Arabidopsis thaliana: one gene and its partners. The protein of the gene in region 2 interacts with the protein of the main gene of each other region in a pairwise test. Each region holds a gene or a part of one and is shown on either strand. Other genes may lie near its edges.

Region 1 (7,434 bases), on a different chromosome or scaffold from region 2:
CAAAAGGCATGATGATTGATCGTTAGTGCTACAGAGAAGAACCGGTGGCGATAGGGGACCAAACATAAATTCGTCGTAACACTCATACAAATGTACGGCTTGGATTGAGAATCGTCGAGATATCTCATGGTAGGGTCAATCCAACAGTGGGCCTAAAAGCAGATCCTCGAGGAATGGTAACGACTCTCATGTTCTTCAAATTAATTTATTCTACGTTTGCCGTCACATTTATGTTATTTCTTGTATAGTATTGCATATGTTGTATTTTGTCAATCGATATGACTAATGGTTTCAATAACATATATTGTAGCATGTTTACAATAAAGAGTGGGTCAAAATGAAGGTTTTATTATCATCTTCTAATTAACTTGACTTTTTTTGGTTTAGACTTTAGATCATGTGTCTTCTCTGCTTATAATCGAATATCAACTGACTAGGAGAATCAAAATAATGTTGAAACTAAAATATTGGTCAAATTATACATCAAGTCTTACAACATTTTTGTTGGTGTTAAACATAGAGTTAAAGAAGGCCACAAGAATCATTCCAAATTGAATATAATAAGCACATTAAGAAATTAGAGGTCTGCTAAGAGGTTTGCTTATTTCGGTTTTTGTTGGTGTACTGCTAAACGTAGAGTTTAAGAAGCCCATAAGAATCATTCCTAAAGGAATATACGAAGCCCATTAAGAAAATAATTAAGGCACGTGAGGCCTCGCGTGCTAGCGTGACTAGGCTTTTTATTTACGGCCCATCGTAAGTGAACGTAAATGGCATAGTGCGTAAACAGACGGTAACTTTTGGTCAAAAAGTGAAAAGAATATATTTGGTATCTCACATTACATAGTGAGACCCACAGTCTGTGCCCTCGTCGGAAACTAAAGAGAGAGCCTCCTCAGATTATGATTTCGTTGTCCGGCTCCATCTTTACTCCAGCTCGGCTCGGTTCGGATCAGCTCCCGTGATTTTCAAATCTATGTGAGTAGGTGGAGAGTTTGGGCCGGGCCCTCTTCTGATCTCATCTGGTCTTAATCTTAGCACGTGACCCAACCCTTGTCCACTGAATAATACTATATATTTTCTGTCATTTTATTTGGTTTTACGAAACAATTGGAACATGAGCAACATATAAAAATGTATGTAGTATGGTAATTTAAACTAATGCATTTACCATGTATAACCTAATAACCATGTAGGTTAAAGTTTAAACAAGATATATATAAAGTTAGTCTAGATAATCAACATTTGTTTGGTTGTTTTGTTACCATTAGTATTACTGCATCTGCATGTAATCTTTGTTCGTGTTCATGATTGAAAAAAGACATACAATATGTCATTACGTTCACACTTTGCTTTCAGTTTGTTTTCCTTCGATATCATTATCTTTGGTATATGACAAGTTCTGGCCCAAAATATTAGTGCACAGGATCCATTATTACTTTATTAGTTAAGACCCATCATTAGTGCACAAGATCCATTATACTATCAAGTATCAACAAAAAATATTTCTATTTTAGAGGCTAATATTTTGTTTAGGCCATTTGCGAAATATTTTTTCTATTCTAAAAAAAAAAACGTAAAATGTTTATTAAATTCAGTTGCCGCTTTATACTTGTTACAAAGATTTTTGTTTTTCAAAAAGGAAAATTTTACAAAGTCAAAAAGAACCTATGGTATATTTTGAAAACAAAGTTTATTTTGGGTGTTATGTTATGATATTCCTCTTCTTTTTTATTTGGTTCACAAGATTTACAGCAAATGAAGTGTACATAACATTGAACTGTACTTAAGGAATTGAGTTTTTCTTATATTTTTCTTAGTGCAAATATAAATGCCGCCGAAACTGGTGGGAATGAATGAAAAGAAAACTCAAGAAACTCTCTCAATAGTCATCATAGTCTTTGGTTGTGGCTCACTCCTACATGAAATATCGTTATCGTCCTTCTCATATTTATTACTTTATTTCCTCAAAACTACAAAATAATGCTATCGTTTTTTGTTTTGGCACCACCAAATAAAGATACTTTGAAAATCATAAATGTCTTTTGTATTATTCAGCCAAGTGAAGATATCAAATAAATGTTTCTAACTTCATTTTAACAAATGTTTCCAAGTTTACTTGGCCTTTTCTGGTAATAATATGATTCCCTCCTTTCGATGTGTTTAGATATGTACATATACTACTAGCTAGCCATGTCTTTTTAAGATAACACAAAGATAAATGTCCATTTCTACATTTATATAAGGAAGTTATAATTTTTTTTTAATAAATCAAACAAACACAGACGTTACATAATATTTTATGAGTAACAATAATATTGTAACAGATGAGAAAAGTAATGACGGTTACAAATTAAAAGACAAATATGGTTAAACCACTAAAATGGTAAAGTATTTGGAAAACTTACTAACCAAAGAGAGTAAATAGAGCTGAGATTGTATTGTAGCTCTCTGCAAATGGAGACTATTTAGTCAAAACCCAAATGATTAATCATGCTTAGAAGTTAGAATCTCATACATTTGTAACACAATCTCTGAGACAAATGACATCTGTAAGACAAAAATTGAAGGTTACTCTACATCACATTAAATGAATCCTTAATAAAAAAACATAATAACAATATCATAATAGGCATCTCTTTAACCTACTTAAGGAATATTAAAATGAGGTAAAAAAAGGAAGTGATATTTCCAAGGCAGTGAGACATAAACACTGCAGGTTACTATCTCTCCATCTGCATCTTGCAGTGCTTTCTCTCTTTGTTTTCTGACTTACATAATTTTTATATCACATAAAGTAACAATTTATTAAACCTATCAATCAAATATTATATACTAATTTTGTTTATCCTATCAACTGTCTTGTCTCATAGTCTAAACACTTTTCTCTAGCTCTCTCTAACAAAAGAGTGAAGAAGAAAAAGTTTTTTATTTTGGGTATTTACATGACAAGCCAAACAAATAAGACTTTTGTTGTGGTTGTCTTTGCTTATTAAGCCAGACTCTCTAAAAACAAAAGAAGTGAGGGTAAAAAAACTATCCCAAAAGCAACCAACACATTTCTCTGTCTGTCTCTCTTTCTCTCTCTCTCACTCACTCTCTCTTTGTTCCATGGACTTGCAACTGAAACAATGGAGAAGTCAGCAGCAGAATGAGTCAGAAGAACAAGGCTCTGCTGCAACTAAGATATCAAACTTTTTCTTTGATCAGATTCAGTCCCAAACTGCTACTTCTGCTGCTGCGGCTCCTCTTCCTCTCTTTGTCCCTGAACCCACTTCTTCCTCTTCTTTCTCTTGCTTCTCTCCTGACTCTTCTAATTCTTCTTCTTCTTCCAGGTTCCTCAGTAAGTTGTTTTAAAAGGACAAGACTTATTCACTCTAATGTTGAAGTTGTTTTTGCTGATATTTAATCTGACGTTTCTATGTTACATATATATGTAGAGATGGGAAACTTCTTCAGCTGGGCACAGTGGCAAGAACTTGAGCTACAAGCACTGATCTATAGATACATGTTGGCTGGTGCTTCTGTTCCTCAAGAGCTTCTCTTACCTATTAAGAAAAGTCTCCTCCATCAATCTCCTATGCATTTCCTTCACCATCCTCTTCAACATAGTTTTCCTCATCACCAACCTTCTTGTCAGTCTCTCTCTCCTCTCTATTGTTTATGCTTCTCTTATCCTTGAAATAGTCTTTCTTTGTAAAAAAGATTCCCTTTGTTTTGGTGTTGGAGTTATATTTCCAAGATCTAAAATAAGTATAAGGCTGCTCTGCAACCTTGCAAGGAGTTAAAACCCTATGTGTATGATAAGCCTATTTCTAGAAGATCTATTAGCAACATAGATAGAATCAGACAAGTACATTTCGTAACCAATGTCTTGAGTGAGATTTATGTTTGTTGTTACTAATGAACAACACACACTTAATAAAAAACAGGGTATTGGGGAAGAGGAGCAATGGATCCTGAGCCAGGGAGGTGTAAGAGAACTGACGGCAAGAAATGGAGATGTTCAAGGGATGTTGTAGCGGGCCACAAGTATTGTGACCGCCACATTCACCGTGGAAGAAACCGTTCAAGAAAGCCTGTGGAAACCGCCACAACCACCATCACAACGACAGCCACAACAACCGCATCTTCTTTTGTCTTAGGTGAGGAGCTTGGTCATGGACCAAACAACAACCACTTCTTCTCCTCTGGTTCATCTCAACCTCTCCACCTTAGTCATCAACAAAGGTACAATAAAAAAACACAAACACTCTGTTTAATTAAAGTCATTAGTAGATTTGGTTAATTACAAATATTGTTGTTAGGGAAATAGTGATTTCACTGTGAAGTAATGCTGTGAAGAAAGGGGTAATGTTGGCAATAGGGTGACAAGAGAGACTTATCATACATACTTTGTGATAAAAACATTATTCTTTCTTTTGTTGAGAGATAATGATAACAGTTGGATTTGATAGAATCTAATTTTATTTACTAGTTGGGTGAGACTTTTCAATCATAGAAATAGAAAAGAGAGAGAAAGTTAAAGAGATATGTATACTTATGTTGTATTTGAAATAATGACATGGTAGGACCTCAGTGAAAGCTGACCAAACCTGCATAGAAGCCAAACAAAATAAAGCTCTCAGATTCTGCAACCACTTCCTCTTATTAACACACACATTTGACTGATTAAATTATTTCTCTAACCATTTTGTTGAATTGATCAGTCTACTTATTATTGTTCAAATGTTGGATCTTTTTGTTGACAATGTTTATGTTTATGTTTATTCCTCTCTGTCACAGTTGTTCTTCAGAGATGAAACAAGAAAGCAACAACAACAAGAGGCCATATGAAGCTAACAGTGGATTCAGCAATGGAAGATCAGACGATGGTCACATCTTGAGGCATTTCTTTGACGATTGGCCACGATCATCAGACTCTACCTCCAGTCCAATGAGCTCATCCACTTGTCATCTTTCAATCTCCATGCCCGGTAACAACACGTCCTCAGATGTTTCTCTAAAACTTTCCACAGGCAATGAAGAAGAAGAAGAGAACATGAGAAATAACAACAATGAGAGGGAGCAAATGAATTGGTGGAGCAATGGAGGGAATCACCACAACAATATGGGAGGACCATTAGCTGAGGCTTTGAGGTCAGCTTCTTCGACGTCAAGTGTTCTTCATCAGATGGGAATCTCTACTCAAGTTTTTCATTAAAGAAAAGTGTTTGTAATCTTTTTGGTTTGTGCTCTTTGAATCTTTATTTTCTGCAGAAAATAATCTTTGAATTTGTCTTCTTTTGGAATTGTGAGTTCTGCTTTTGGAATTGTTTTGTTCCTTACTCTGCTATTATATTTATGTTTAAAGCTTGACAATTTTGTATAAGCAATGAAACTAATATGATCCTCTGCCTGCAAGTAAGTACAGGAGAGGTGGTTACTTGAGCTTTTCACTTAAGCTAAACCGAATCAATTTTGGGAAACCAGTTAAACCACCTCGAATTAACCGGTTCCCGGTATAATGTAAAACCAAAACCCTGATAATCACCGGCATCGTATAGATTGATTAGACGGTGAAGTCTCGAACTTAACCGGAATAAACCTTTTCCGGTCCATCTCTAATTCACAATCTTGGGGTTTGTGCTTGCTTGCTTCAATCGCGAAGACATTTAGCAGAACCATTTGTCGTTTCCTCTCGCCAGATTCCGTGCTCCGGAGCCAGAAAGTTTCCGCCTTTAAAGTACGTCAAGATTTAAACTTTCTGATTAATTTCTAAAACCCTTTTTCGAAATGTTTGTTTGATGGTCTGATTAAAGTTTTTTTTGTACAATAATTCTCAAATTTATGCAATTGATATGTGAATTTTTAGTCTTGATTTGAACAAGTGTTTTGGAAGTTTGATTCACTTACTTTTGATCAGGAAATGAAGTATGTGAAGCCATTGAGCTTATTGGGTAATGCGCTGAAGACCAAAGTGTCAGTCCCTGGTCGGTTTCTGGGTTTAGATGTTGGTGATAAGTATGTTGGATTAGCTATCTCAGATCCTTCAAATATGGTTGCTTCTCCATTGAGGTACCTTTGATTCAGTGTCTACATGCTACAACATTTGTTTAACAGTAATTTTCAAAAATGCAAATCCTCTCTGATCAATTTTGTCACCATCATCGCTATTGAAAACCTGTTACTTCTCTTGCAGTGTTTTGCTCAGAAAGAAATCAAACATTGACCTGATGGCTACAGATTTCCAGAACCTGGTAGGTGCTATAAGTTTGATCGTTCCTTTACTTTTTAGCTCTAGATTTAAAGGAGACCTTAAACAAATACACAGATTTTAGTTCTTGTTAAGAAATGGAGAAACTATCATTTCTTAGTGTTTTTTAAAACAAAGAAAAAAGGTTGCTAGTGTAGATTAGTGTTTACTAAGATAAGGAATGAAGAAACTATCGTTTGTTTTGGTAATGAAGAAGAAAGTTTGTTAGTGTAGTAGATTAGTGTCTACTTTCACCCTCGGCTTTTTGTGATTACTGCCTTACTGGTGATTAAAGGATCAAGGTTTATTCAGTTAGTGTTTACTGTTAAGTCCTTGACGTAGTAGAGATCTATCAACAAGTAGACTTATGAACTCTGTTTGATTACATCAATCATTTGCCTTTTGTTGTCTTATGCAGGTCAAAGCATTTTCTGTGTCGGGATTAGTCGTTGGTTATCCATTTGGCAAACTGAACAATGTAGAGGATGTAAGTTTTTTTTTTTGTTTCGACTGAATTGTGAAGTACTTTTCCTCTACATTAGCTCATATAACCGAAAAGGATTTTTAAACTTGGAACAGGTTGTCACTGTGAATCTTTTCATTGAGGAACTTCGTAAGACCGAAAAACTCAAGGATGTGAAATACACATATTGGGACGAGCGATTATCATCAAAGGTATATATTTTTCAGATTTAAAGATCTTGTAAGTCACAGTAAAGATAGGTGTTAAGTTTAATATCCCTTGAATCTCATGTAATACTGTCAACAGACCGTTGAACTGATGTTGAAGCCCTTGAATTTGCATCCTGTTCAAGAGAAGACAATGTTGGACAAGTTAGCCGCAGTAGTTATACTTCAGGTAAGGTTACTAATATTCATTTAAAGACCAATGGAATCTGTTCTTGTATTTCCTTCTTGATAATTTTTATGTTTGATTGTTTGTTACTTGCAGGAGTATTTAGATTACGCGAACAGGTATGTAAACACTGAGCCAGCAGAGTAAAAGGAAACGGGTAATGACAAAATAGGGAAGCCGCTAGTTTCGGATATATGAATATAATGATGCTTGATTTGTTTTGACATTATCTATGTGTACAAAGACATCTTGCATCTTTTAAGAAATTCGTTTTTCGCTGCATTCATATCTTTAAACCTTAGCACCATTCATTTATCGTACATCCTGTTACATCGTAGCTCAC
Region 2 (7,683 bases):
TCACAAAAAGTACAACAAAAAAAGCTGATTTACATTTTGTTTTTGACTGAGAATGTTAGTTCAAATTCTAGATCCCGCTCTGAGTTTGTTCACACTTTTTGTTTTGCTCTCCATCATCACTCAACCGAAAAAAAAAAGTAAAGACAAAAGTTATTTTCCTTATGCGTTACTTCTCCGTTAGTTTCGAAACACTGACACTATAGACCATGAAGATGAAGTCATCGCCTTCTCCGGCTAGTTCTCTCTCACTCGGCTCGAAGACTCGGTCATTCGGCTGTATCTCTATCATTCTTCAAAGATTTCTCTGTTCCGGCACCTCTTCTACCTACCCATCTGATCTAATTACTGAACCCAGTTTCAAGTCTCGTGATTTCATCCCCGAGCCACTCAGAGGCAGAGGAGATGGGCCAGGAGCTGTGGCGAGGCTCATGGGTTTGGACTCAATTCCCGTGATCGACAAAACCAGATTTCTCTCAAGGAGCCATTCAGTGAATCATTTGAAGAGGGACGACGATGAGATTCAGGGAAAGCATAGAAGAGTTAAGTCCACTCTTGAGTATGTTGAGCTTGAAGATGATGATTTCTTCATTCTCAGTTTCGAGAAGGATAAAAATGATAAGGAGCTGGGAACTAGAAATTGTAAGAAGAGGAGAGATACTAGAGAGAACCAGAGCAAAACAGAGGATCAAACACACCTAGAGGGTAAAGAGAACAACATCAATGCCATGAACGTTTCACCAGGACGTGAGAGGCTTGAGATTGGAGAACTGATGCAGCGTAGAAAGGAGAAACGTAAGAGCAGAAGAAAACGAAAAGAAACTAAGTTGAGACAGAACATCGAGAAGGAGAATTGGGTCCAAAGTAATGGTTGTTGGTCCAAAGAAGAAGATTTAGTAAATTGTGAAGTGAGATCAACAAAAGAAGAAGAAGAGTGTGGAAGCTGCGATGATTCGAGCCCTGTCTCGGTTCTTGATTATGACCGGTATGCTGGTGTTCGAGTAACTCCATCACCAGGTTGGTAATTCTTCAGTATTGAAAATTGAAATGTCCTTTCTTGTGTTATTAAAGCATACTTGTTTCCTTGTAACAGGAAACATTTCAAGAAGACGGTTGTCTTCAGAACTTGAATCTAGTAAGCTCAATGAAACGATTGAACAAGATCACATCACATTGACAAGTAGATCAAAAGACCAAGAAATCCGACTTCATGGCTACCAAGAGATGTGGCTCATGATCTGCAAACTCACTGTATCTGACCTTGAAGGTTCAGATTGGTTTAACGGAAAAGCTTTAAAGCTCGAAGATATAGAAGGAATCATAAGCGAAGATATAGTCTCAAACATCTTAGATCAACTCTTAGAAGAAACAATTACAACACTTTCCCTAACTTCACAAGTGTAAATACATTTCTGTATTCCAATTATATTATTACTAAAAAACATATATATTCAGCGTGAGAGTGTTACCAAGAAAAAAAAAAATCGATTACTCATTGTGAATAGTAAAGAATCAAGGAAGTGAGGTGAGGTAATTCAAGGTTTCTTAGGTTTTGAAACCTTTTTTCACCTCTGTTTTTCTTTGGAGACAGAGAGAGAGACAAACGAACTCTCTTTTGTCCCCTAAGAATTTTTTCTTTTTATTCTAAAGAAAAATAACAAAGCATTAAACAAATAAAATGAAATAGATTAGCATCGACCTCTCGGAATCTTTCTGACTTTGCTTCTTGTGGAACGGTTAATGAAAGTTCAAAACTTTTGATTCAAGCCACGGTCTGTTCTGTCTCCATGTATGATTGCTCCATCCAAACCGGAGCTAGTCTTGTCTCCTGTGGCTCTTTCACCAGCGGCTCCACCCATGAGACATCTGGCTCTTCGAGCCCAGTCCCTTCGTTAGGCAGTCTTGATTCCATGCCACCGGCTCTGAGACGGAAAGAAGTGGATTTTCTGAGCTTCTGTAGCTCGTCTCCTTGGACGCTCCAGTCAAGCTTCCCATCCAATGAGCCCCAATCGTTTAAACAAGTTGTAGTCATGGAAGAGATTGCGGGATGGTGATTCAGTCCGTTGTTGCGTTCTATGAAGCTTTGGCTTCGCTGTTTAGCAAATTCAGCCGCTCTTGAAGCCAAGACTGCGGAGGAATCCATCGAAAACAGAGAATTGGCTCCCACAGGTGATGAAGAAAGACTGTTGGAATGCAGCTGCGGGTTAATGACGCTGCGTCGGATCTGCAAACCCGATGTATTATCCTCTGTCCCAAACATATCACTGAGACTATTCACCGGGCTCATTGCTCCTCCTGCAAGCCTGTTCATGCCCTTTCCGGAGAATGGAGATGACATTGGCGTGTTGTTCCATGTAGTTGGAGAAGTAAGACTTTGCATCTCTTCAGAGAAATCGATTTCTCTTGCATTCAATGCAGATTTCAATCTGCTCCCTGGAAGCTGCAATGCAGGAGGGGTTATGTTAGGCCAGTTCATCCACGTTTTTCCTCCACCTATTGGAGAGGATACACCGTTAGGACTCAAAGGAGGTGTGGTTGTTGCTCCGATAGGAAGCGGACTAATCGGTCCCATGTCGAAAGCGGTCGAGGAATTGCAAGATGAGAAGGAAGACCGCGGGGACGGAACACCTGATCCAGTTGAAGGGTACAAAGGACGCAGCTCCTCGGGTTTGTGGGCAAAGAAACAAACTCTTCTCGAGCAATTCGTCTCGTCCTTGCAGAGACGAGTCCGGTACTGAGCCGGGTGAAGCCAGCACTCAAAGATACCATGAGCATACTCGCAAGTATCACCTCTGGAACAAGACCCCTTCCGGAATTCAGGACAAGGGACACAACTATAATGGTACTTCCTCGGATCACGCCTCCTTGCGTTCTCACCCGGATGAACAAAGGGACATTCCGTCCAGTCGTGAGAGTATGCTCTAGAGCACGGCTTGATCTTGAAAGCATACATCCGGAACTCATCCGTCCCATATACACCGTTCTTGATATCAGGAAGCGTTGGATCAACCGGATACTCCTTCCTCTCAGACCCCCGAGGAGGCGAAACCTCAACCTCAACCTCAACCTCTGGCTCGCTTTCTTCTTGCCCATTAACTTCATTCAAATCATCATTTCCTTTCAACAAACGCTCCAAAACCTTCATCCTCGCGCTAAAAACCGGACTCAAACAAGGGAAAATCACATCTCCAGGCTTGTTACCATAAGCATCACAAGAATCCGGATTCGCAGAGCCCTTCAGCAGAAGAGTAACAATCTCAAGGCTATTGGCAGACAAGCCAGAGACCGCACAGTGAAGAGCCGTGGCACCATCAGAGCCACAAGAGCGGTTCACGTCAACAAGACCAGTACTAATGATGTAATCAACAACCTCTTTGCTTCCAAACAAGGCAGCAATCATAAGAGGCGTCCTCTCCTCAAAACCCATCTTCTTTGATCCTAATCTCCTCCCATACCACAAACCAGAGCCATCAATGCTCTCAAGACCTTCTTCTTCAACTAGAGACTTAAAACCGGACAAATCATTGCAGGCTGATGATTCTAGCAGAAGAGAGAATTTGAGGTGAGACAGCTCATCAACTCCCATGGCAAAAAAAAGCAACAATCTTTTCCCGCTCTATTGATTTCACTGCAAAAAAAATTGCAGAACAAATTGAAAAGGATGAATCTTTTTTCTTCTGATTAAAATGGTAATATACATAGAACAAAATCATACAAAACAGAAATAAAAACTGCAGAAACGATTAAGCTAAGGAGAGAAGGAAGAGTTTGTTAGTTTGGGATACAAAGTTTCCAACTTTAAAACAAACCAAACCAAAAATAAACACCAACAGATCCATAATTAACCACTTTTGCAACATCGAAAACTAATCATATTGTTAACTCATTTTCCAATCAGCAAAACAATTAAAAACAAACTGCAAACTCTAAAACAAATCGACATATATGGATTCAACTGAAACTAAATTAGTGACTAATCAAATCAAAGAAACAAAGAGTAAAGATTTTCTACCTCTGAGTCACAGAGACAAACTCTCTCTTTTCTCGACCACCACTACCAAAAAACCGCTCTTCACTTCCTTTAAACGAGTACTCAATTAGTCAATTTATTGAAAAAACAAATCCGAATTTTTTTTCTTCTTCCTCAAATTATGTTTTTTTTCTTCTTCTTCCTCTCCTTGTCACTTTCTTCTTAAGGTCAAAATAATAGAAGTTTTTAAAAAAATGAAGAAGCTTACTCTAAATAATAAAACAAAACCACCATCTCCATCATTCTTCTTCTACTTCTCTCTCGTCTTTTTTATTTCTATTTATTTATTTTACTTTCAATTTTAATTTGTAAAGTCTGAAGGAAATGAAGGTGTACGTTAGACTTCACACAGAGGATCTTCGCTCATCGGTTTTGTCACGCTTCACGCGTTTTTCCGGTTTTTGGTGGGATGACGTGGAAACCATGCATCGTCAGCATGTTTTTAAAATGAGCTACTTACTTTTCTTCTCCATTCACGAGCTAAAGATAAAACCACTGCCTGTTACCTAGAGTTATATAACCAATTAACCATAGCTTTTTAATTGGTTTGTCACCGCCCCAGAATAATCTCAACATGCACCAAAACACAGAATCGGAACCGTCTCGAGTGGGTTTCGCTTGATAGCAACTCTCTTTTGTCATAGCTTTGATTTGAGTTATATTCATCAAAATTAATTATCATAAAGTTTAAAGATAATTGAGATAATTATTATAAAGTCGAGAAATTGACGTTTATGTTCAGTTTTTTTCGGTCGACAATTCCAACAAAAAGACGATTAGGTAATACAAATATCCTAAGAGACTAAAATAATGTGTATTTAAATTCGGTAATGGAAAGAATTCGAACAAACCTTACCAAACTTTGTATTTTCTGTCGCTATGCTTGTATTATTATATTAAAAGATAGTGATTCGTGATCCATGACAATGTTGTACTACTATATAAAAGTAGTCATAAATTGCAAATGTATAATAATATTTTTTTGAAAACGACTACTGTTTTGTATTGCAACCAGACCAAATCCAAATGCATGCAACCGAACCCATCAATGCTTTTTGCAGCGGCATTAACGAAGCTGCTCCACTGGCTCTCTCTCACATCATAACACAAAGCCATTTATTTTCTCTTCTTCTAATTTACAGTTCTAATAAATAAGTAAAGTCATAATATTAATATGATAGTGCAAATACTGTATATATACACGACAAATTATTAATTTTTAGATAATTATATCCTGTTTCTTAACATAAACACTGTTGATTCCCAATGTCAAATCAATATTTAAAAATTTGTTATAAGTCAGTCACTCAAAAGACAATGGTATGAAAAATGCTGAAAACAGACGGTCAAGATCTTGTATTCACGATGAGATATATTGTTAGGTTAATTTTGATATAAAGCGAAATAAAAAGGGAAAAAAGGTAGAAAAGTCTAAGTGTACAATTAGGAAAAGGACCCACAAGAATCCATAATCTGACTAGAATGAATGGAATAAGAAGCATGTGGGACCAACTGAAAGCGACTAAGCATTGCTATTTGCTATTTTATCAGCCGACGTCGCTGCGACAAAACCCCAAATGGCAGAGCCTTATTGGACAGACCATATTGACTTTTATGGTCCTAAATGCAGTGAATTATCTCTCTTCGACTTGGCGCCAAGCACTTCTGGGCCAGAAATACCGATGCGGGGCTATACGAGGATAATGATCTGTTTCAAAGCCCATAATTAAAGACCTAGGTTTGGCCCATTAGTCTATCTTCTTGATTTAAAAGAAGGAAGCCAATTTCTTCTTCATGGACGTAAATAAAAAGAACTGGTAACTAATGAGATAGTATCTTACTATCTTCACAAGTAAAAGTCATATGGTGAATCCGAAGAAAGAATGTCGTATTCATGAGCTATATCTGAGAAGAGTGAAAAACAGAGTCAAAGTCAAAGAGTGATGAGCAAGCTTTAATAGTACGAAAGTAGAAGAAATAAAGAAATAAGAGGGTGAAATGGGTAAATTTTGGATTTTTAATTAGGAAATAGTGCAAATTGACCAAAATTAAAAATCTCCACTCTTTTCGCGTGTATCAACCAAAAAACAACATCAATGTCCTTTAGTTTTAATTAATCTCGCTGTTTAATTGGGATTAGACTAAAAAAGTTGCAGAGACTAGTACAGCGTTACTTGGGGAGAAAGCTGCTACTCACACAAGTACCTCCCAAATCTCTTCTCTTACCCACAAAAATCTTCTCTTCAATATTCTCCAAGCTCTATCGGAACACTGCGTTTTTTGTTTTTGTTTTCCCTCCAAATTTCTCACTCGAAGCTTTTAATGCCAGCGGCGGAGGAAGAAGAGCCGATATTCGGCTGGAACAGCACCGGTAGACGAAATCTCCGCCGGAAAAAGCTTCTCGACGGTGATAAGATAGAGGTCGCTTGTTGTTTTCCCCCCTGACTATTTCCTTTCCACCATGGGTCTTTTTGATTGTAGGGTTTATAGGGTTTTTCATTTTCTCAACCTTTTGAGCAATTTCGGATTTTTTTCAAGGTTTGAGTTTCATCGTGGAGTGTAATTGATGGATTCAACTTTTGTAAAAGCTACATTGTCTGTTTCTCCATTATAATCACTTTTGGTTCTCTGTAGCTTTTTGTTTAGCTTTTGAGATGTTAAAAGTTTAGTAGTTTCCATTTTTAGTGCAAACTTATATGTTGCTTTTAATGTTGCTTCGTCTTCTAATCCTGGAAAAGTATTTGTGTTGCTTGTTTAGGTAAGGAGTCTTGAAGAGGGGTCTCTGGGTTCTTGGTATTTAGGAACTGTAACTTCAGCTAAAAAGCGACGTCGGCGTTGTATCAGATATGACAACATTCTCTCTGATGATGGTTCTGGTAATCTTGTGGAAACTGTTGATGTTTCTGATATAGTAGAAGGGTTGGATGATTGCACTGATGTTTCTGATACTTTCCGTGGACGTTTAAGACCTGTGCCGCCAAAGCTGGATGTTGCTAAACTGAACCTTGCGTATGGGCTCTGCGTCGATGTGTTTTTCAGTGATGCTTGGTGGGAAGGTGTGCTCTTTGACCACGAGAATGGTTCTGAGAAAAGGAGGGTGTTTTTCCCTGATTTGGGTGATGAATTGGATGCTGATCTTCAATCTTTACGTATTACTCAGGATTGGAATGAGGCTACAGAGACGTGGGAGTGTCGTGGCAGTTGGTTGTTTCTTGATTTGATTGAGATATATAAGGAATATAACTATCTCCCGGTTTCGGTAAAGCAACTTTGGTATGACATACGAGACAGGATTGGTTTTGTAAGAATTCAAGAATGGACTTGCTCTACTAAGCATTTATGGCAAGATTTGATGCTGGGGGTGATTGAAGATAATCTTAAAATCACCATTGACCAGTTTCTTCATGATTTTGACGCTGAAAGATACCCTCAATTGAAGCTCTTAAATGAAGCTTCTCAGGCGGTTTATGAGACCAATGCTTGTCTTAGCGGTATGCTAACGATTGCTCCACAAGAACACCAATTTTCCTGCATTGACAAAGATTTCAAACCGGCAAGCCAGAGATGCCAGTCCTTGTCTGTCTTGACTTCTGTTTCTGGCATAAGGTCAGAGGCGAGTGACATCAATAAGGCAACAGAAATTTCCAGCAAGAAAT
Region 3 (6,452 bases), on a different chromosome or scaffold from region 2:
AATGTATGAACAAGGGATAGATTTGGTAACACCATCAGCGAACTTGAAAGATATCGAATCTGCTACAGTTGAGCTTTGCTGCAAACCACCATCAGGGCTAACTGTAAAAGTAGAAAGACAAAGATTAGCTTAGAATCTAATTTCTTTTAAATTGAGTGATAAAGATTAGTAACCATACCTTTAAGGACTCCTCCTTCTGAGTTCAATTTGATACCTTTTTCTTCGAGGAACTGATTGAGCTTCTTGATTTTGTTTAGATGAGATTTAAGCCGATGAACAGAAATCGTGACGTGGTTAAGTGCATATCCATTGACAAGGGTCCATGCTGCGTATTCACTTTCCCTGTTAATCAATTTAACCCAACACACCTTAAGTCAACTACTCTAGCTTGATCTAGCAAAAGAAACAAAGAGACCTAGGATCATATGTACCTAGCCAATTGCTCAAACTCAGAAGATAGAGGCTTTTCCCAAGTTAAAGTACCCAAAGCACTAGAAAGTCCAGCATACTTTTTCCCATTAGGTGATGCTTCCGTGTATTTTCTGATTACATCCTGAAAACAAAAGAAATTGCCTTCAAAGCTCATAACATAATCTAGGGTCAAAACCAATGACAGTATATTATTACCTGAGTCTGTGAACTCATCTGGTCCACCAGGAGCTCTGAGATAAAAACTCTCGGTAAAGGACCGTTAACGCCGCTGCCACCAGGAACAGCAGAAGCATTAGGAGGTGCAAACCACAAAGCTCTAAGCTTTTTGGCCGGAAATTTTAGCTCATCCATCGGTGTATATCCATAGTCAAGGAAAAAGCTTGCAAGCGAGTCAATCCCATAACCACCAATCTAAAACATTTCCATAGACAAATTCCAATAATGAGCAACTTAACATTGTCAAAATGGTTACAACTTTGAAGCAGCCAAAAATGTTTATACCCCAAACGTTCTGAAAGCGAGATGATCATAGCAAAGTTGCTGGTCATCAACAGATCGAACAAGCTCCAAGACGGATTTAGGCGTCGGGTTTCGATTTAGGTAAACAGTTTCCATCTGCCCTAAGACACTCCTGAAGAAAGATTCAGCAGCAACCTGGCCAAGTGTAAAAAACGAGAGACGAGACAATTAGATGATAATGGCAAGTTATCAACTTGAGCAGGCAAATTAATTGCACCCACATGCCAAAGAATCAAAACATCAACAATTGACAAGAACAGAGTTTTCAGATCTTTCATGACCTAAATCAATCGAGGGTATATACACCATACAAGAAATATACAAAAGGACGAACCTTTGAAGACGATCCGCGAGAAACATTGTTTGATGACATCGAGGAGTCTCTTCCAGAGGAAACGACGACGGAGAGATTGCGCTTGCCGACGGAAGGAAGCCGAATAAGAGATCCAGCAGAGAAGGAAACAGAGAGTGTTGATCGTAACGAAGAAGGGAAAGAGCCGTAGAGAGAGGCTTTAATGGCTGATGAGTGGAGTGAGATCATGGTGGAGATAAGGAGGAGATGGTTGGTTTTGTCGCCGGAAAGCTTTTGATAGTGAGAAAGCTCCGATCATGTATTTTGATTTATGGAGATTCCGTGCTCTTCTGTTTCTCTCATAAGAGATTCGTGTCGTGTCAGATAGTACTATTTCATCCGATGAGACGTGGCGATATTATCAATGGGGTTATCTTTAATTTGTTTGATAATTAAAGCTGAAATTCTATCATTGGATGATTTGTAGTTTGTTGCTGATTTTCAGAAGAAGAAACTACAGGTACAAGAGTTGAATCTCCAATGACCTTAAATACGATAATTAGAGTTGAAATTAGATTTTTGATGAGTGAACTTAGTCTCCATCCATAGGTGCGTCGCCGTTTAATTCATTTTCCAAGTGCAAGGTAACAATGCAGGTTTGATTCGTTGGGCTTTTTCAGCAATTGTCCTACTTTGGATGGACAATATGATGGGCTTTTCATATTATTTGGGCGTTTTGGTGTAAGGTTTCCTAGTGGGCTACTATATGATCTAAAAAGGAATTTGAGAAAGCACTAGCAGTAATACCGATAAGCTCGAACGTTAATTTGGAGGTGTAGAACTTATATACAAAGTTAGATTTTCCAACACTTTACACACGATCAAAAGACAAACACGAAAAAAACTGTACGATATCTACCATTAACTACATAAGATCTTGAGATTTAAGTTAAACATTGTTTGAAGAATAATTGACTCTAAGGGAAAGTATGCCAAACAAGTTTTATCCGAAAAGATTCAAATTTGGTCACCAATCTATTAATATCTTAGCTTCATATTCGTCTAGTCCGGTGAAAGGATATGGAATCCGTGAAATTCGGTGGTGGAAGGATAAGGTATCCGTGCCTTAGGGTTTATAATAGTCATTAATATGTACATACATTCTTATGCTAATGACGTAATTTTATAAAAATTTACGGTAGCTTTGAATATTCATATGAGAAAAACGTGGTAGTTGATATGTAGTTTGGTCCCGACAGCGGATGAGTAGATTTCGATTCATACACATGTGGTGAACCCTTTTTTAGCCTTAAGACCCCACCAATTCGACAAAGACTTGCCATATACGTTCGCTCCTCTTCATGTAATCTTAAAGATATTTTTGCATCTCTTTTCTTTTTTATGTCAATAAGATATTTTCATTTCAATATGACAAAAGTTGTAAAAGTCGATAATGATATCTCAAAACTACGAATAATAATAACAGAAAATAGACACAACAAAGGTTGGAGATATTTTTCTCCAGATATTTTTGCCCCTTTTAAGTCTCTCTTTTCACGAACCGACCCTACAAATAATTCAAAAGATTTCCATTGCAAGAGAAATATAAAGTTAGGCCTCACAATATTAATTGGTGTCATGAAACTAAATGAGTAAAGGCTAGAGTGTAGAAAGAAGAAGGAATAAGAAAGAGACCTTAAAACGAGGTCGTTTATCTGCGTTGAGTTTTCGGACTTGGTACCTTATCTTCTTAGAGAAGAGCCTACTCTGTCTTTTCTCTTTGTACCTTAACACACTTGCTTCTCTTCGCATGTTTCTCTTCTCCTCTATCACTGGCACTTCTCCCCTCTGCATACACTCTAAATCATTAATATTGACTAATCAAGATTAATCACTACTCATAACTTGCACAACAAGAAAGAGATTCATAAAAACTAACATAAACGGAATTGTCCAGAGTTGAAGTATCTGTCCACAGAGGTTTCTGGTGATCAGACCAAGCATCGATAACTTCTTGATGGTTCAGATTCAGCTTCAGACCCAAGTCTTTGTCTTCATAATCCGTCGGCTTATTCTCCCAAAACCCAAAACTTGAGCCTTCTTGATCAGTACTCGATCTTTTTTCTTCTTCCCCTACATCTTCATCTTCGTCTTCTTCCCAGAAATCCCACGTGAGTTCGTTAGAGCAGCTTAAATTGTCAATGGTGATGTCGAAAATGCTCTCGAAATCATCTATAGAATGATTGTGTTGGTCTCGAGAGTGACCATTGATGGACTCGAAGGTTGAAGAAAGTAGATGATCTTCTTCTTCTTCTTCTTCTTTCTTCGGCAACCTTTGTGTATCCATATATCTCTTATCTTTTTCTCTGTTTTGTTTTCCCTTCACTCCAATATTTTTTTTTTCTTTGTAAATCCGTCACCATACGAAAACTATATATAGATACAAATACAATATTTAGAGAGCAAGGTGTTTCTTTAATACTTTAATATGTGATGTAACTGATACGATGTGGCATCTTATCCCAAAAGTGATGGAATAATCTCAAGCTGATTGGTTTAGAGAGTCCAGCTTGGACCCAATTTGAGGGACCTCTCTTACTGGTCCTTTGCCTCTAACCAGAGACCATTTAGCCACTTTTTTCATCTTTATACTAATAGCCGAGTCCTAGCGTCATTGGGGCTAGGAAAGAGCTATAACAGTATAAAATTTCCCTGTTCTTCTTCAGAATTCATTTTCTTGTATTCAAAGTATCTTAAGTTAAGAAGAGAATAAGATTCTTACATCTTGATGAAGAGGAATGGGAAGCCGAAATCTAAACTGAAACAGAGGCGTCACCCAATTATCAATTGGTAAGTGATATCTATGTTTCGATCTGTATCTCGGCCTTTCACTCCTCTTCTTCTTGATGTAAGAATTTGTTATTCGACACATTAGATGGAGTGAAAAATCTGTTAGATATTTATATACATGATAAAAAAAGTTGTGATGGAAGGAAATGATAATAGGTATGTTTCCACCAATAGATGAATATGTAGAAAATTAGCAAATGACAGCTATTAAAATTTGACACTTTGACACATATTACATAGACATGATAAAATAAGAAAAGTATATAACTTTTTTTTATATCCTTAAAAGAAAATGTATCTATACCGCTAATTATATATTTTATAATTAATTACACATTAACACATGTTGAATTACAAGATTTGTATACATTGAATATGCATTGTAAATCACAAAAATGATTAGAAGGAAAAGAAAACACAAGTTGACCAAAACTAAAAATAGGAAGATGATGATGACATATCTTGGTTTAACAATTACAAAGAAAATATCTCAGAAAACAATTGTCTACTTGTGATAGCATAGACATGAGCCACATGATATATACTACTAAAAAGAGAAATTATGTGGCAATCTATTTATTAGATTTTGAACGGTTGAAGTTTAGACAATTTTGAAAATAACATTTTGATTTTCAAATTTATAGAGTTGTTTAATAATACAAATTGATTAACCTTTTGCTATTTTCATAATGCAAACGTAAGAACAAAAACTAGTTTTCGTACTTTTCAAGAAAAAAACTGAATGGAAACTTTTCAGAAGGTGGTGATACTGATGTGGTAAAATTTCGAATTTTGATAACCAAAAGCTAAAACAGAAACAATCTTTATGGGAAATGTGTCTGGTGAAATGATTTGGATTTTGCTCATAAAAGGCATCAATGAGGTTAAGCTTCTTCTATTCTTCTATGAGAAAAAAAAATGATCTTCAGTAACATCTAAGTTGTAATGTTAGCGAAAGCTGACCTGTTTTTCAATGAACATGAAGCAGCAAAGTTTGTAGCATCAGTTGCATCAAAGTTCAAACACAGCGCACATCTGGTTCTAGATTTCGATTCATCCGAATACTACGGAGATCTTGCAACATTCTTTCGTTACGCTTCTTGATTCCTTCTCTGAACAGATTGCTACCTGTGCAGTCTGGATTTTTAGTGGGTAGAGTCTGTCTGGATTGTATTCTGTGTTCCTTGCTTCTCAAGTACCCTGCACCTTGTGCCTGAACTGTTTGTGATTCGAAAATTACTCAGACCAATCAGATACATTCTAACAGACACTCTGTTAAAATTGGTCGAGTCAGTTTTATATCCTTTATGATGGATCCAAACAATAGTTGGTAGAGTCAGTTTATAAATCATCAATCTTTCCAACCAGTAGATTTCCAAGATTCTATCAAACTCAATGGATTCTCCCATACATAACAGTCACACTACATTGAAGGCATTGAACGGTGGGAATAAAACGAGTAATTTAAGACCAATACTTTAGATAGAGACGAAGAAAGCAATCAAAATGTAGTCAGAAGTCTGTTACAAACAGCAAACTTTAAAGAAGACACGATATAAATGAAAATACCTGAATGTGAAGATGTTAACGAGGCAGCTGAATCCCTTAGTCTCCTTACTTTCTCAGCAGCATCCAAAATGTCAGAATTATCTTCTGATTTTGGTTCAATAAGACTATCCTTCTTAAGGCTCAACAGGGCATTTTCAGACGCCTACGTAAAAACTCATCAAAATGTCATACCTCATAGTAAGAACAAGTCAAAATCAAAAGAAGCAAAGAACCTATCTGATCTGTACTTCCATGTGGGAACAGAAAAATGTAACAAATAACAAATTGCTATGTATCCAAAAAATTGAATAAATTGGTAAAGCAACAATTCCGATCATACAAGCATGAACTTGTTAACACAATTACAAAGTAAACTCACTTTCCAAGAAACATGTACAGAATCTCTAACCATTCCTCTTATGTGAATTTCTCCAACCATTCCCAAAAGCAACGAGATCATATACTACAGAAGGAAGAGTAATTTACCTTTCCTGCAATGGAAGGGAATCCATTTTCCATAGATTGGACTGCAAATTTGGTCCATTCTGAATGTGAAACCCCTAACCACAAACAGCTAGGAGACTTGAGCTGCCGCAAATTCAATGCCTCATACCTCATAGCCAAACAACTCTACTCAACATATAACAACCATATATACATACATTACAGAAAAGTTGAGTAAAGTGCACAAATCCATCTGCAAATCTTCACTCATAATCGAACAAGAAGCTGAAAGATAATTTCGAATTTATTCAAAATCGACAAGGACAGTATACGAACCTCCATATCACCGAGAAGAGCAAAAGCACGA

Evidence for each region. Proteins that work in one complex are often made in the same cells at the same time.
Region 1: the proteins of AT5G58620 (region 2) and GRF4 interact in a two-hybrid assay, tested with the Arabidopsis thaliana proteins (one large-scale study listed by BioGRID).
Region 3: the proteins of AT5G58620 (region 2) and AT1G07050 interact in a two-hybrid assay, tested with the Arabidopsis thaliana proteins (one large-scale study listed by BioGRID).

What each region holds. Positions count from the first base shown.
Region 1 is NC_003074.8:19,613,946-19,621,379, reverse strand, and holds GRF4 (growth-regulating factor 4), read left to right. Parts: upstream 1-2,872; 5' UTR 2,873-3,111; coding exon 3,112-3,343; intron 3,344-3,440; coding exon 3,441-3,635; intron 3,636-3,932; coding exon 3,933-4,230; intron 4,231-4,785; coding exon 4,786-5,203; 3' UTR 5,204-5,403; downstream 5,404-7,434. Other genes in the region: AT3G52905 (Polynucleotidyl transferase, ribonuclease H-like superfamily protein), read left to right, coding at 5,909-6,057, 6,182-6,239, 6,654-6,722, 6,815-6,910, 7,005-7,094, 7,188-7,238. UniProt on the Arabidopsis thaliana protein: Transcription activator that plays a role in the regulation of cell expansion in leaf and cotyledons tissues.
Region 2 is NC_003076.8:23,689,859-23,697,541, reverse strand, and holds AT5G58620 (zinc finger (CCCH-type) family protein), read right to left. Parts: upstream 4,284-7,683; 5' UTR 4,010-4,283; intron 3,626-4,009; 5' UTR 3,584-3,625; coding exon 1,760-3,583; 3' UTR 1,402-1,759; downstream 1-1,401. Other genes in the region: TRM31 (uncharacterized protein), read left to right, coding at 207-1,014, 1,091-1,401; AT5G58610 (PHD finger transcription factor), read left to right, coding at 6,350-6,448, 6,786-7,683.
Region 3 is NC_003070.9:2,161,544-2,167,995, forward strand, and holds AT1G07050 (CCT motif family protein), read right to left. Parts: upstream 3,719-6,452; 5' UTR 3,591-3,718; coding exon 3,183-3,590; intron 3,092-3,182; coding exon 2,903-3,091; 3' UTR 2,811-2,902; coding exon of another isoform or gene 2,784-2,810; 3' UTR 2,032-2,783; downstream 1-2,031. Other genes in the region: AT1G07040 (plant/protein), read right to left, coding at 1-101, 179-342, 432-553, 628-843, 934-1,086, 1,286-1,492; DFO (uncharacterized protein), read right to left, coding at 5,112-5,311, 5,663-5,804, 6,128-6,271, 6,422-6,452.